Stegostoma tigrinum: one gene and its partner. The protein of the gene in region 2 purifies or fractionates together with the protein of the main gene of each other region. This does not show direct contact. Links are inferred from orthologs where the notes say so. Each region holds a gene or a part of one and is shown on either strand. Other genes may lie near its edges.

Evidence for each region.
Region 1: the proteins of kpnb1 (region 2) and importin subunit alpha-7 purify together in Homo sapiens (affinity purification with mass spectrometry; 4 studies listed by BioGRID and IntAct, with this or other methods). This does not show direct contact. The link is inferred for Stegostoma tigrinum from reciprocal best matches to the Homo sapiens genes KPNB1 and KPNA6.

The regions. Positions count from the first base shown.
Region 1 is NC_081377.1:47,829,142-47,836,440, forward strand, and holds the start of importin subunit alpha-7, read right to left. Parts: upstream 3,087-7,299; 5' UTR 2,985-3,086; coding exon 2,981-2,984; intron 1-2,980. UniProt on the Homo sapiens protein: Functions in nuclear protein import as an adapter protein for nuclear receptor KPNB1. Binds specifically and directly to substrates containing either a simple or bipartite NLS motif.
Region 2 is NC_081384.1:5,015,190-5,022,477, forward strand, and holds the start of kpnb1 (importin subunit beta-1), read right to left. Parts: upstream 3,043-7,288; 5' UTR 2,744-3,042; coding exon 2,689-2,743; intron 2,570-2,688; coding exon 2,511-2,569; intron 1-2,510.

The DNA.
Region 1 (7,299 bases), on a different chromosome or scaffold from region 2:
CCACTCACCCTGCCCACCCAACCCAACCCAACCTGTCCTCTTACACTGTCCCTCCCCATCCCGTACCATCACGCCACCCACACCCCTCCCCCTCACGCCACCCCAGCCGTCCCCTTCAGCCCACTAGCAACCCTCCCATCCCCTCACCCTTCCAGTCCCTTCACACCACCCCTGCACCTCCTGCCCCCTAATCCACTCACCCAGCCCCTGTACCTCCCATTCCCTCACCCCATGCCTCGTCCCCGCCCCGACCCTTCACCCAAATCCCATCCCCTCACCCCACCCCACCGTCCCCGTCCCCTCATCCCAGTCGGCCCATGCCCTGCCCACTCGGCCCGCACCGCCTCCCGTCCCACCCCCGGCCCCTCCCCCCCACCCCCTCCCTCCCCCCCCTCCCTCCGAGCCCTCCCCGCCCTCCCCGCCCCACCTCCCTCCCAGCCCTCCCCCGCAGCCCTCCCTCCCAGCCCTCCCCGCCCCACCTCCCTCCCAGCCCTCCCCGCCCCCTCCTCCCTGCCCCTCCCTCCGTCCCCGCGCCGCCCCCACCCTCTCCTCCCCGCCCCGCCCGCCCACCCCTCCCCGCCCCCCTCCCCTCCCCGCCCCCCCGTCCCCGCCCCCTCGTCCCCGCCCCTCCCTCCCCCCCTTCCCCGCCCCCCCTTCCCCCCCGCCCGCCCCCCCTTCCCCCCCGCCCCGCCCCCCCTTCCCCCTTCCACCCCGCCCCCCCTTCCCCCCTTCCACCCCGCCCCCCCTTCCACCCCGCCCCGCCCCCCTTCCACCCCGCCCCGCCCCGCCCCCCCTTCCCCCCCGCTCCGCCCCCCCTCCCTCCCCTCCCGCTCCGCCCCCCCTCCCGCTCCGCCCCCCCCCTCCCCGCCCCCCCTCCCGCTCCGCCCCCCCCTCCCTCCCCTCCCGCTCCGCCCCCCCCCTCCCGCTCCGCTCCCTCCCCTCCCGCTCCGCCCCCCCCTCCCGCTCCGCCCCCCCCCCTCCCGCTCCGCCCCCCCCTCCCCGCCCCCCCTCCCGCTCCGCCCCCCCTCCCCGCCCCCCCTCCCGCCCCCCCTCCCGCTCCGCCCCCCCCTCCCGCTCCGCCCCCCCTCCCGCTCCGCCCCCCCCTCCCCGCCCCTCCCGCTCCTCCCTCCCCTCCCCTCCCGCTCCTCCCTCCCCTCCCGCTCCGCCGCCCCCTCCCTCCCCTCCCCTCCCGCTCCGCCCCCCCCTCCCTCCCCTCCCCTCCCGCTCCGCCCCCCCCTCCCTCCCCTCCCCTCCCTCCCCGCCCCCCCCTCCCTCCCCTCCCCTCCCGCTCCGCCCCCCCCTCCCTCCCCTCCCCTCCCTCCCCGCCCCCCCCCTCCCTCCCCGCCCCCCCCTCCCCTCCCCGCCCCGCCCCCCCCTCCCCTCCCCCCCTCCCCTCCCCGCCCCCCCCTCCCTCCCCGCTCCGCCCCCCCTCCCCTCCCCGCCCCGCCCCCCCCTGCCCCCCCCTCCCCTCCCCGCCCCGCCCCCCCTCCCCTCCCCGCCCCGCCCTCCCCTCCCCGCCCCGCCCCCCCCTCCCCTCCCCGCCCCGCCCCCCCCTCCCCGCCCCGCCCCCCCCTCCCCTCCCCCCCCTCCCCTCCCCCGCCCCCCCCCTCCCCTCCCCGCCCCCCCCCCCCCTCCCCGCCCCCCCCTCCCCTCCCCCCCCTCCCCTCCCCCGCCCCCCCCCCTCCCCTCCCCGCCCCCCCCCCCCTCCCCGCCCCCCCCCCTCCCCGCTCCGCCCCCCCCTCCCCTCCCCGCTCCGCCCCCCCTCCCCTCCCCGCTCCGCCCCCCCCTCCCCTCCCCGCCCCGCTCCGCCCCCCCCCTCCCCTCCCCGCTCCGCCCCCCCCTCCCCTCCCCGCCCCGCTCCGCCCCCCCCTCCCCTCCCCGCCCCGCTCCGCCCCCCCCTCCCCTCCCCGCTCCGCCCCCCCCTCCCCTCCCCGCCCCGCTCCGCCCCCCCCTCCCCTCCCCGCTCCGCCCCCCCCTCCCCGCCCCGCCCCCCCCTCCCCTCCCCGCCCCGCCCCCCCCTCCCCGCCCCGCCCCCCCCTCCCCGCTCCGCCCCCCCCTCCCCTCCCCGCTCCGCCCCCCCCTCCCCGCCCCGCCCCCCCCTCCCCTCCCCGCCCCGCTCCGCCCCCCCCTCCCCTCCCCGCCCCCCCCCCCCTCCCCTCCCCGCCCCCCCCCCCCCTCCCCTCCCCGCCCCGCCCCCCCCTCCCCGCCCCGCCCCCCCCTCCCCGCCCCCCCCTCCCCTCCCCGCCCCGCCCCCCCCCCCCCTCCCCGCCCCGCCCCCCCCTCCCCGCCCCGCCCCGCCCTCCCCGCTCCGCCCCCCCCTCCCCTCCCCGCTCCGCCCTCCCCTCCCCGCTCCGCCCCCCCCTCCCCGCTCCGCCCCCCCCTCCCCGCTCCGCCCCCCCCTCCCCGCCCCGCCCCCCCCTCCCCTCCCCGCCCCGCCCCCCCCTCCCCGCCCCGCCCCCCCCTCCCCGCCCCGCCCCCCCTCCCCGCCCCGCCCCCCCTCCCCGCCCCGCCCCCCCCTCCCCTCCCCGCTCCGCCCCCCCCTCCCCTCCCCGCTCCGCCCCCCCCTCCCCTCCCCGCTCCGCCCCCCCCTCCCCTCCCCGCTCCGCCCCCCCTCCCCTCCCCGCTCCGCCCCCCCCTCCCCTCCCCGCTCCGCCCCCCCCTCCCCTCCCCGCTCCGCCCCCCCCCCCCTCCCCGCTCCGCCCCCCCCCCCCTCCCCACGTCCCGTCCACCTCGCCCCCTTCCCCTCTCCCCGTGTCCCGCCCCCACACCCTCACCCTTGCCCCCACTCCTCCCGACCTGCCCCTACATCTCCTGTCCCCTCAACCCATCCCTGCCCCTCCCGTCCTGCCAATTCTGCCTCGACTCCTCCCGCAACCCCCACCCCTCCTGTCCCCTCACCCTCAACCCACCACAACCCTTCCCTCGCCCCCGAACCCCCTTCCCTCGCCCCCGAACCCCCTTCCCTCACACACACACTTACCCATTGTCGGTCCTCACTCCTGCCTGACGGTTGTTGTTGTTATCGGGGCCGCGCGGCTGTTTCCAGAAACAACTCTGATCCAAGATGGCGGCAGCGCGCGGGGGCTCGCGGGGCCTTGGCTCCTGCAGGCGCGCGCAAATTGAAAACGGCAGCTTCTGCTCTCCGCCCCCACCGTTCACAGCAAAACCAGTACCAACTGTCTCGGATGAAGGGTCTTGATCTGAAACGTCAAACTTTCCTGCTCCTCTGATGTTGCTTGTCCTGCTGTGTTCATCCAGCTTCACACCGTGTAATCTCGGATGCTCCAGCATCGGCAGGTCCTACTATCTCTGTACCAACTGTCTATGTCACTTTTTATACTCTGTTTCACTCTCTGTCAGGAAACTATAACCAGAAGGAATCCATTCAGCTCTTGCAGGGTGGTCTATCGTCCATCAAGTTAATTTTTTTTAATTTTACAAAAGAGATCAGCTTCTACCTGTCACGTCTGTGCAGCTCGCTCGTGATTTTGAAAAACAGTATCAAATCTCCTCTTAAGATAATAAAATGTGGAGCCGGATGAACACAACAGGCCAAGCAGCATCTCAGGAGCACAAAAGCTGACGTTTCGGGCCTAGACCCTTCATCAGAGCTGGTCTAGGCCTGAAACGTCAGCTTTTGTGCTCCTGAGATGTTGCTTGTCCTGCTGTGTTCATTTAGCTCCACAGTTTATTATCTTGGATTCTCCAGCATCTGCAGTTCCCATTATCTCAAATCTCCTCTTAACCTTGTTCTCTCCAATTATAACACCCCAACTTCTTCAGCTTATAACTGATTTTTCTCATTCCTCGAATGATTCTTGCAAACTGAATGACCTAATTATCCTATATCTTATGATGCCCTGGTCTTATTTAACCTTAAAAGTTTCTCCCGTGTTAACCTTACCATCTTTCTCTGATCATAATTCGGCTGACTTACCTATTATTTCTTGTTCTCCGTTATTGCACTGTCTTTGACATTCAGTTAGTCACTTAGTACACTTTTCTAATTTGCAGGTTTTTAAGAAGCATTCCCCAATGGTAGTGGTCACCAGCCAATGAATTCACTAAATTTCCTGCAGTGTTACTCAGTTGGAGGGGGTGAGTCCAATGCTACCCTCAATTTCCTTTATAACCATGTTTGGCTTGTCCCCTTCCTAGAATTGTTCTGTCTGACTGGGACATATCTTTCCTGCAAATCATGAGCTATTTTCTTAAATGTCTGCAAATGTTTCTTAATTGTTTTGCTTTTATACCTCTTACACAGTCCACTCCAGCTAGCTTTGCTGTCATTCCTTGTAATCACCCTTATTTAAGTTTGGCACAGTTGTTTGTGACCCAAGTTCTCACTCTCAAACTGAATGTTATAGTTACTGTTTCCTATCAATCTATTACCCTGACCTCATTTATTGTGAGATTTAGATTCACATGCTCACAATCACAGAGTCAGTGGAGTCAAAGTCTTAGAAACAAGTAACCTAAGCTTTATTACAAGTCTGCAGAATCAGGTGCCTCCCATTGCCTGAGACACACACAGGCCAGGGAGCCTCCTCTTTTTATACATCATTTTTCCAGCCAGATCCTCCCCTTTTGGCTCCGTCCAATCTGAGCTCCAAGGTGCACAATCTTCCCGTTACTTCCCTTGTCCCACCCCCTTCATACATCGCATGTTATGTTAATTAAGCAGCTTCGCAAGCATGGGCATAAAAGTTAATATGCATTCTCTCATTAGGCATGCACTTCAACTATGTCTATTGTGCAAAGCTTGACCTTTTCACCCTCTGGGTGTCTGCTAGTAGTTTTGGACCAGTTCATTCTGGTTTCTAACCACTTGGCCCTCACCTCCTTTTCTTATCACGGCTCAGTACTAGATGTCTTTTGGTTCAAAGCTGAGTAATTCTTTTCACTGCAGTTTAATCATCCTTATCTCTCACAATCCACCCTTTTTCTTTTTGCTATGCATCATGATTAAACTGCACCTTGGGATCCCGTCCCTCGAACGCCCGGAGCATCCTCTGAATCTCTCTCTGCTGCATACTATCCTCCGATTGCAGAAGCCTTTGGCGGTGAATCTGGGTCACCCCTTCAAGGGATGTCATCAATCGGCTCAATACACATTTCAGGACATTGAGCCCCACCACCAGACCCACTAGTATCAGCAATCCATAAATGGCCAATTGACCAGCCACCGGTCAATCCCCAATTTCCCCATTCCCATCCTTTTTCGTTCCGGTACTTGTTACCGGCTTCCCTTACTTTGGCGATCTGGTCTCGCACGTGCTGGGAGATATCAGTAATATTTGGGGAGGTGTCAGGTATGTATGTACAACATTCTACCCCAATTAGTGCACAGGTACCGCCCTTTTTGGCTGGAACAATGTCTAGAGCCATCTGATTTTGAAGAGCCGTTAGCCTAGTGGCAATCGGCTCAGTGGTTATGGCCTCCACCCGGGATTGGGTATCGGCTAAAGCATCAGAAGTGTCGTTGGCCAACTCCTCCAGAGAGGCTGCCAGCTTCTGCATCTCTCTCCCTGATCGGGCAGTCCCATACATGGGTAACAAGGTCCAGAGGAGACAATCCCCCTCAGTTACTTTTCGGAGGTTACGTCTCCCTCCTCCTTGTCTCTGGTTTAGCTTAGGGGCCGCCCCAGGAGTCTCATATGTGGAACCAAATGGGCTAGGTAACAACAGCCACTTCATCCCTTTTGATCATGGGGCAAGGATCTCCCTCACCCGGACCCCTCCTCCCCTTGGTGTTGGTGCATGTCCCCGGGTAGATATGGATACGCCTTTTATGGCAAACCCAGCGTGTCCCATTCAAAACTTGGGGTAGGGTGGTGTCTAAGGCTAGAATGTTTAGTTTACAAGACAAATTCCCCAACTGGAACGGGGCTCTATCATTCCAGTTACAGAAACACGTTGAGTTAACCTGTCCCCCAGGTGGCGAAACTCTGAGACCGTCATTTGCACCTTGGGTCCCTGGGGCCGGCTGAGGAAACCATCCCTTGAAACTATAATTCCCCTTGCTCCTGTTCCACCTTCCCCAACGTGGCTACCAATTCCCGTGACTAGAATTCCATGCACCCCTGACCGATTCCCACGTATCATTTAAAGTGGAGGCAAACTGCAGCACCTCGCCTATTTCTTCTTTGGTCAGAGGAATTCTGGACTCCCCATGATGTGGGATTGCAGCACACACCCAGCAGTTGGTGCGCCCCGTTTGTCTAGCATAGTTTTGACATAAGCGGTAAAATGATTCTTTCCCTCTCCCCAGGCTACAATTAACAATAAAATAACAGTACAGTGTAAACCCTTCATTTTATCTTCTTCTTCAATTTTAACGTCAATGGGTTGTTCCCCTCCCGTGCCTCCCACTCTTCCTCAGCTGGCGGATCCACTGGTCCCTTTATCTGTGCTGCATGCGTCCACCCTTTTTCTTTCGTTCAGACTGCTGTCTCTGTTGTCAGCAGCACCAGGTATGGACCAGTTCACTGCAGCTGGAGTTTTTCTTCCTGCCACGACTTGACCAGAACCCAGTCTCCCGCCCTGATCGAGTGGATAGAAAAATCGAGAGGAGGACTCTGCGCCAACAGCCCTTTGGCCTTTAACTCTGTAAGGGAACGAGAGACTGCCAGTAAATAGTTCATTTGAAATACATCATTACCTTCAATAGTGGGCACCCCTTCTATCTTTCCCACGTATGGGAGCCCGAACAACATCTCGTAAGGGGACATCCCTATATCTCTGCGTGGAGCGGTGCGTATCCTGAGCAGAGCTATCGGCAAACATTTAGTCCAGGGAAGCTTCGTCTCTGCCATCAATTTTGTTATCTGAGTCTTTAGAGTGGCGTTCATTTGTTCGACCATTCCCGAGCTCTGTGGGTACCATGGTGCATGTAACTTACATTTCGTCCCTAAAGTGTCACAAGTCAGTTCATGTGTCCTGGAAGCAAAATGTGTTCCACAATCTGAGTTTAGGGACTTTATTATCCCATACCTGGGAATCACGTGTTCCAAGTGAATCTTGGCCACCACTTGGGACGTGGCACTGACGGCGGGAAAGGCTTCCACCCACCTGGTAAAGTGATCAACTATCACCAACAGGTACTTCCATCTCTGGACGCTGGGGATCTCAGTGAAATCCACTTGTATTCTTTGGAACGGTTGAATTGCCAATGGCTGTCCCCCTCCTGGCATGGCTGTCATCACTTTCTTATTTATCTTCTGACAAATTATACATCGAGAGACCGCTTGCTTTGCCAGAGTGAAGATCCCCCTACAGGCATACACCCGCAAGAGAGCA
Region 2 (7,288 bases):
CCTATTGCATCAGCTCATATTTACTTTGTTGTCTACCACTATTCCAAAGTGGTGTACAATACTTGTCTTTTTCTAGCACTTATTCAAGCAGGATTTCGTTTTTATGTCCCATCTTCTTCTAATATCACATGCACTTTTCAAAACTTTTACTCACCTTTCTTCTTGCTATTGATTCCTAAACAGTTTCCAGTGGCTACAAAATTCCTTAAGCTGTATTACATGGTCCAGCTGATTGAATTAACCAGCTCAGTTTTAGATCTGATTTGATACAGGATACAGTGTCTGACAGCAGGTAAATCTCTAAAGCCAGGATCTGATAGGAAGCCCCTCCATATCATACCTAAGCTTAAGTCAAGCCTGTATTTTTTTTAGTTGTTAGGTTTTACTAAACGTGCAGGAAAAGGCTATGAAAATATAGCTAATTTTTCCAAAAGCTGACAGTTTTCAGAAATTCTGCAATCTACAATTTAAGGCCATACAATTAGCCAAATTAATAAGTGGTAAAACACTACATACAAAGTCAAATGTACTTCCAAAGAAATGGCTTGAAATTTGCAATTAAAATAATTAGAGATTAAAATGCAATTTACTGCTATTTCTACTGACTTCAAAGCAATTTTAAGTTTCCAAAATTACCTGATTTACACACATTAAGTAACCTTGTTTAAAGCAAAAGATGAGAAATCATTGTCAAATGTGCAAATCCACAGTAACCAAAAAAGCACCAATAACCTTAAATAGGATGCAACAGAAAATCTCTAAAGAAACAAGCTCAAAATGCACGTGGTGACCTGCTAAAATAACTTGCATTTGGATTTAAAATATATTAAGATACATCTATCAAATTTAACAATGGTGCAACCCTAGTTAACCTATAAAATTTTAACAGTGACTAGACAAGATAAATGCAGGATGTTCTTAATAACCGTGAGTCTTGAACCAATGGTCACAGCTCAAGGATATGGAACTCCCCACTCAGAACAGAGATAAGAAATTTCAGCCAGAGGATGTTTAATCTCATGGAACACACTACCACAGAAGGTTGTGGAAGCCAAGTCATTGAGTATACTTAAGACAGACAGATGCTTGATTAGTAAGGTGGTCAGAGTTACACAGAGAAGAATGATGTTGAGAAGCCTATTAGCTATGATAAAATGGCAGAGCAGACTCAATGAGCCAATGGCTGAATTCTACACCTATATTTTAGGTTCTACATTTCTTCAACCAGAATGCAGTGAACTCTGCCACAGAAAGTAGTTGAGGCCAAAATATTAAATGTTCGAGTAGTTAGATATAGCTCTTAGAGCTAAAGGGATCAAAAGCATGCAGAAAGCAGACACGGTACCAAACTGAACAATCAGCCACAATCATACTGAATGGTGAAGCAGGCTCAAAGGGCCTGTACTTGCTCTTATTATCCATGTTTCTAAAAGGTTGAGGGAAGACTTAAATTACAGTCTATTGAAATACTTTGACAGTAGAAAGGAAGGTAGTTCTATTAGGATAGATTTGAAGCAACTGTCAAAAGAATTAGAGAAAGGTTGACAAGAATTGTTCTTCCATCAAGGAGCTAAGCAGGACCTCAAACACCATCTACTACGTTATAAGCAACTGATACCCTGAATGCATCAAAAAACTCAGATTTACACCCTAAATAGTGATCTACGTAGACCGAAACTGGGATATGAGCGAGGCTGTTTTCATTTGGTTCAAACCTAGAGGGCTAAACGGCGTCCCAGCACGTCTTAATGCGTTACAAATTGATTAACTTCCACAAACACCGGTTAAATAGAAACTTTCAACTGGTGTTAACCAAATGAAAAGATTACACGATAGCAACCCAGAAGAAAGCCAGACACATGATATCAAAACCTAAATTGTGCAAATCTTCAGGCTATTATTGAAAAAGAAATAATGCTTACGACGATTTAAACGCAGGGGTATAAAGGGCATAAATTTATCAGATAGCATAATGGATCCAGGCCTCCCCAGCCCCTCCATGCGTGGGGTAGGCTGTTCTCTCTCACACATAGGGAGGAGAGGATGAGCCGGCAACATGCGCTCAGGCCTCGACTCCCAGCTTCCCTTCCCATCAACCAAACTTGCGCAGAGCGGAAACCCAGCCTCTTCGGGGCGTCCTCATTGGCTAGCGGGCATGCCCACCGGCAATCTCCGGACTCTCATTGGCTGTCATGCCTTGTCAATCAACCGGGGTAATTCCTGCCAGCAAGTTAGGCTGTCATTTTTTTTCACTCCAGTTTCCCCCTCCCCCGCCCAAAAGGTTGGGGGGGGGGTGGGGGAGAAGAAGAGTAGAAAGGGGGAATTTTCTCAATGAATGCCCTTGATTTCCCTCCATTAAAATGGATAAAAAATTTTCCATCTTAAAAATCAAATAGCCAACCATACTCTCGCATCAGCCCACGCACATTTTTTTTTAAAAAGCCGAATTAGATCAAACCATCGCCCCCTTTACCCATTCAAAAAAAATGGAAACAGAATCCAATACTGACCAAATTCTCAACAGCCGCCTGTTCCAGAAACTTCTGCGCTGCTTCCAGCTCATTACGATCTGGGGAGGAGGGAGAGAAAAGAAAGAAAAGGGCGGGCGGGAAAAAAAATAATAATACAGTTTTAAAATACCACGAAAGAGAAAAATAATATTACTCCCTCTCCCATTAGACGCCTTACCTGGAGAGACGGTTTTCTCTAAAATTGTGATAAGCTCCATGTTAACGAATCTCATGTGGGAAACAACGAGGATTTTTCTCAGGCAGAAACGGCCATAAATGGTTCTGGGTCACTCAGATTCTGCTTCCTTTTAGAAAATATAACGTACATATACACCGCGGTGAGGGAAGATTAAAAAGAGCGATAGATAGATAAACAAGGGGTGGCAGCGTGGAATTTATTATGGATAACAACAGATATGCTGTATATTAGTGACTGTTTTCTCTTTCTCACTCGCTAATAACCAGAGCGCAAGCTTCTCTCACGCCTTCGCCCGGCTCCGCAGCTGCGCAAAAGCCGAGTGCCACCGGCGGCGGAGCGATATAGCAGCGGCCGCGCGCGCTGCTCCCTTCGCAAACTGCCGCTCCCCGTGACGCGCCTCCCCATTGGCCGAATCATTCACGGCGCACGTACCGCCGCTTCCATCTGATTGGTCCGTCTGTACGTCAATCGCCGCGAGCCATTGCCAAGTGGCCGAACCCCGCCATTATCACTGCTTCACCCACGCCTTCAACAGCTGCCCGGCCTGTCTAACAGGAGCTCCCATTGGCCCGTGACCGCCCAGGCGAGCCAACGCCTAATCGGATTGGTGGGTGTCGCCAGACGCAGTACACGCGCGCGCTTGTTCCGCTTTCCCACTGGCCGCCTAGCACTATCTAACGCGGTTTCTCATTGGCCAATCGTGCTTGGATATCGAACACAATCCCCGATTGGTAATGTCTTTACACACCGGCCATCAGTCATCCTATCTAACACAATCTCTTATTGGTCCATGACGCAAGTGCCGGTAAAAGCAATCGAATGCCACTTCTGATTGGAGGATAGCGCTGAGTGCATCACATCCTTTGAACGGCCGCCGTGTGTTATTTTACGCGACCTTCCACTGGCCTATCATTCCCATCCTACTGCTTATCTAAAGAGACTCTTGATTGGTTAAGCAGAGATGCTATAGCTCTTCAACGGCCGCTGCCTGATGCTATTCAAGGCGTCCTCTGATTGGCTGAGCGGCTGTAGCCTCTGTTGAAGGCCGAATTTCGAATTGGAGCCGATGACCCCTCCCTCCCGTCCTTGAGACCGTTTTCGGGGGAGGGTTATGTCTGTACTTTTCCCACTTGACTCCGCCCAGGGCCTGCCTCCATCCTGGGACACTTGGTCCAGTTTTACTCTAAATTCCGGGGGGAGGGGGCATCGGAGCGTCTCCTCCGCCAATCAGACCGATCGCATCGGCGGGAGAGAAACCTCATTTTCAGTGGAAAAGCTTCTGCACGAAAGGAGCAACCGGCGTCCGGAGAAAGTCTTTATTTTTGTGTGCGTATGGGTTGCCTTCGGCGCCTAAATTCAAAGGGGGTGCGGTTGACGAGGTTAAAAGTTGAGGGCACTACTTTACGGTGGCGAATGGAGATGCGGCTGTTGCTGATGAGTGAGGCGGTTCTGGTTTGTATTTCCCGCCGTTTCCAGGGAAGAGAGCGCTGCCGTTTGTATTGACCATCTCCACTATCTATCCCAAAAAAACCAACTCTACTCAGCATTGTAATGCTGCTTTCTGAAACCACGAATCACTGCAAACATTTCTCTCCTCTTTGCATCCTCCGAGCTGCTTCATAAGGTGTATTTAATGCAATAGAAGGAGAAGGATATTGGGGGTGGACTCGTGTGATAGTCACCTTGATTCCTTGACTGGAACATTTCGAGGCAGATTTTACTTAAGGATCTTTCCTCATGTAAGGGGGTCGAAACTGTTCAAACTATTCTAGGTATGACTGATTCGTGCTGTATAACAGTCTTTTGTGCTGCGAATTTGTGTTTAATGCTCTCCTACAAATAGCAGAACTGTAACTGCACGCTGCCAACACTTATAAAGATCCATCCATCGTTCAATGCAAAGATGGTGGAAGCAGATCTAATAATAACTTAAATACGAATTCAATGCATACTTAAATGAAGAAAATATGCAAGGAATTAATTTAGTTGGAGAACTGTGTTTAAAGAATTGGCATTGCATAGTGAGTCAACCCTGCTTGGGAGGATTTTAAAATCAACCCAATGAGATTTGAATCACAAAAAATCCAGCTGATTTTCCCCTTACCCAGATTGGAAGAATGAAGCACCATATAAATTATTGAGTTTTTTTTCTCCCATTGTGCTCATTCACTACTTCCTATATTTGTTGCGTTGTGGTACACCATTTCAAAGACAGTGAATTGATGACATTTGGCTCCAGGTGCAGAAAGACTGTGATTATGAACATAATGGAAGGAGGCAATGGGATCCCTTTAAACAATTAGCTTCTTATATGCTCAAATGGATATTTTTCCAGAGTGCTTCGGAGATGATTACATTTGTTGATGCCATGTTGGACCTGAGAAACTTTAAAAAATGATTCATTGCAGTACCATCCATTGACATTTTTAACAACAAAAGCAGAAATTGCTGGAAAAGCTCAGCAGGTCTGGCAGCATCTGTGGCAAAAAAAAATCGGAGTTAAAGTTTTGGGTTGAGTGACCCTTCGTCAGAACTGTTTTGATTTACAGCATCTGCAGTTCTTTCAGTTTTCATTTTGATATTTTAACAACACTTATTGTTGGTAGAACAGCCCATGGTGCTTCAAAGGAGCATCATCAGACACATTTAATGCTGATTCAAAGGCAGTGCCAGACAGGTGATCAAAATCTTGGTCTGTGTGGTAGATTTTAAAACACTGGTCAGCAGAAAAGGAATTCTATAGTTTAAGATCTGCTCAACTGAATGCACATTTGACAATAACAAAAACAGAAATTTCTGGAGAAACTAAGCAGGTCTGACAGCTTTACGGAAAGAAAGCAGAGTACATTTTTCAGGTCTGGTGACTCTTGCATGCTAAAGAAGCTTCAGTGGATCCAAAACATTATCTCTTCTTTCATCCTCTACAGATGCTGCCAGACCTTCTGAAGTTCCCCAAAGTTTTTCATTTTTATTTCAGATTTTCAGCATCTGTAGTTCACTTGATTTTTGTTTGCATTGACGATAATACTGGGCCACGTGGATTGGGTTTGTAGAAAAAGCCAATGTCAAACAGCACGAGGAACAGGATCCTGGAGGGAACTTAATATAATGGTGTGAATTTGAAAATTGGGGCATTCTTGGATTAGAAGCCAATTTAAGTGCATGACTGCAGTGGGCGAGTATGACTTGCTGCAGGTTGTGATTGTTGAATATTTATGGCACAGATGGAGGTCTTTTGGCCGATCGTGTCTGCACTGGCTGCCCAACAAGCAGGGAGTAGTTTTGAATGAGCCCACAGTTATGGAGGGAGGCCAGTGTAGAGTGTGCTGAACCAGTTAATTCAGAAGAGAATGAAATGAGTTTTAACAGCAGATAAGCTGATGCATGGTGGAGGTATGGGTAGCTGGTCTTTATTGTTGATACAGTGCAAAAACTTGTGGTATAAGTGTGTGCCACATAGAACAGTTCACATCTTATCTGACTGCTGGCTTTATTGCCTTCGCCTCCTCTGTTTAGATTACAATCAACATTAGGATACGGGATAAAAGCAGAAAATATTGGAAAAGATCTAGCAGCATCTATAGAGGGGATCAGAATTAATGTGTCTAATCTGTGACCTTTCAGCTGACCTGAAATATTAATTGTTTCTGCTCTGCATGTGTTGCCAGAGCTGTTGAATATTTTCAGCAGCTTTTCTTGTTGTTTCAGATTTTTAACATCTGCAGTATGTTGCTGCTCAAAATTGGGCCTCTACAGCACCTGGGTAGAGATTTCAAAATATTCACCCTCGCCTTCTACTTGATCAAGATGTTCTACTCATCTCAATCCTGACAGCGCAGAAGCAAAGATGTTAAAATGTATTAAGATATTTTTAAAAATGGTATGCAGAAGAAGATGGTGTTAGAAGAATATGATCAAGTGAGGGCTGATCATGTTATAATCTAGTACCAAAACAGAAGCAATGAAATGATAACTGTGCAAAAGAAATAATAAACCTGGACCAGTAACACAAATACTGGCTACAAACACAAGTCATAGGTGGTGTATTTTGCAGCAATTGACTCACCTGTTCCGTACATCACATACCTGACTTGTTTTCTGTAAATGATGAAATACTCTCCGATTGTCTGGTACTCATAGTTTCTGTATCCTTAACTCTTTAATTCCAATTTATGAAATCATTTATATAGGTGCAAGTGCTTTTCATTCTTGTAGATCTTACTTCCCATAATACAATTGCCTTTTTTAGACAGGCTATCTTAAAACCTGGTATGCTAGGCCAATAAGGGCTCCATAAGAGTGTTTCAATGTTGAGTTAAGGAGGACGAATTTCAAACATTTACCACACAGAGGAAGGCCAGTTAGCTCATCATGTTTGGCAGCCAGAAGAAAGCGGTCAACTAATTTTCTAGATTTTGGTTGGTAGCCTGATAGGTACAGTACTTCAAGTGAATATTCAAATACTTTTTAAATGCAATGAGAATTTCTCCTCTCCCACCTTTCTAGGCAGAATTATCACTCTTTGGGTGGGGGAAGAAGCCACGATCATGATATATAGTGGAGCAGGCTTGAGGGTCTG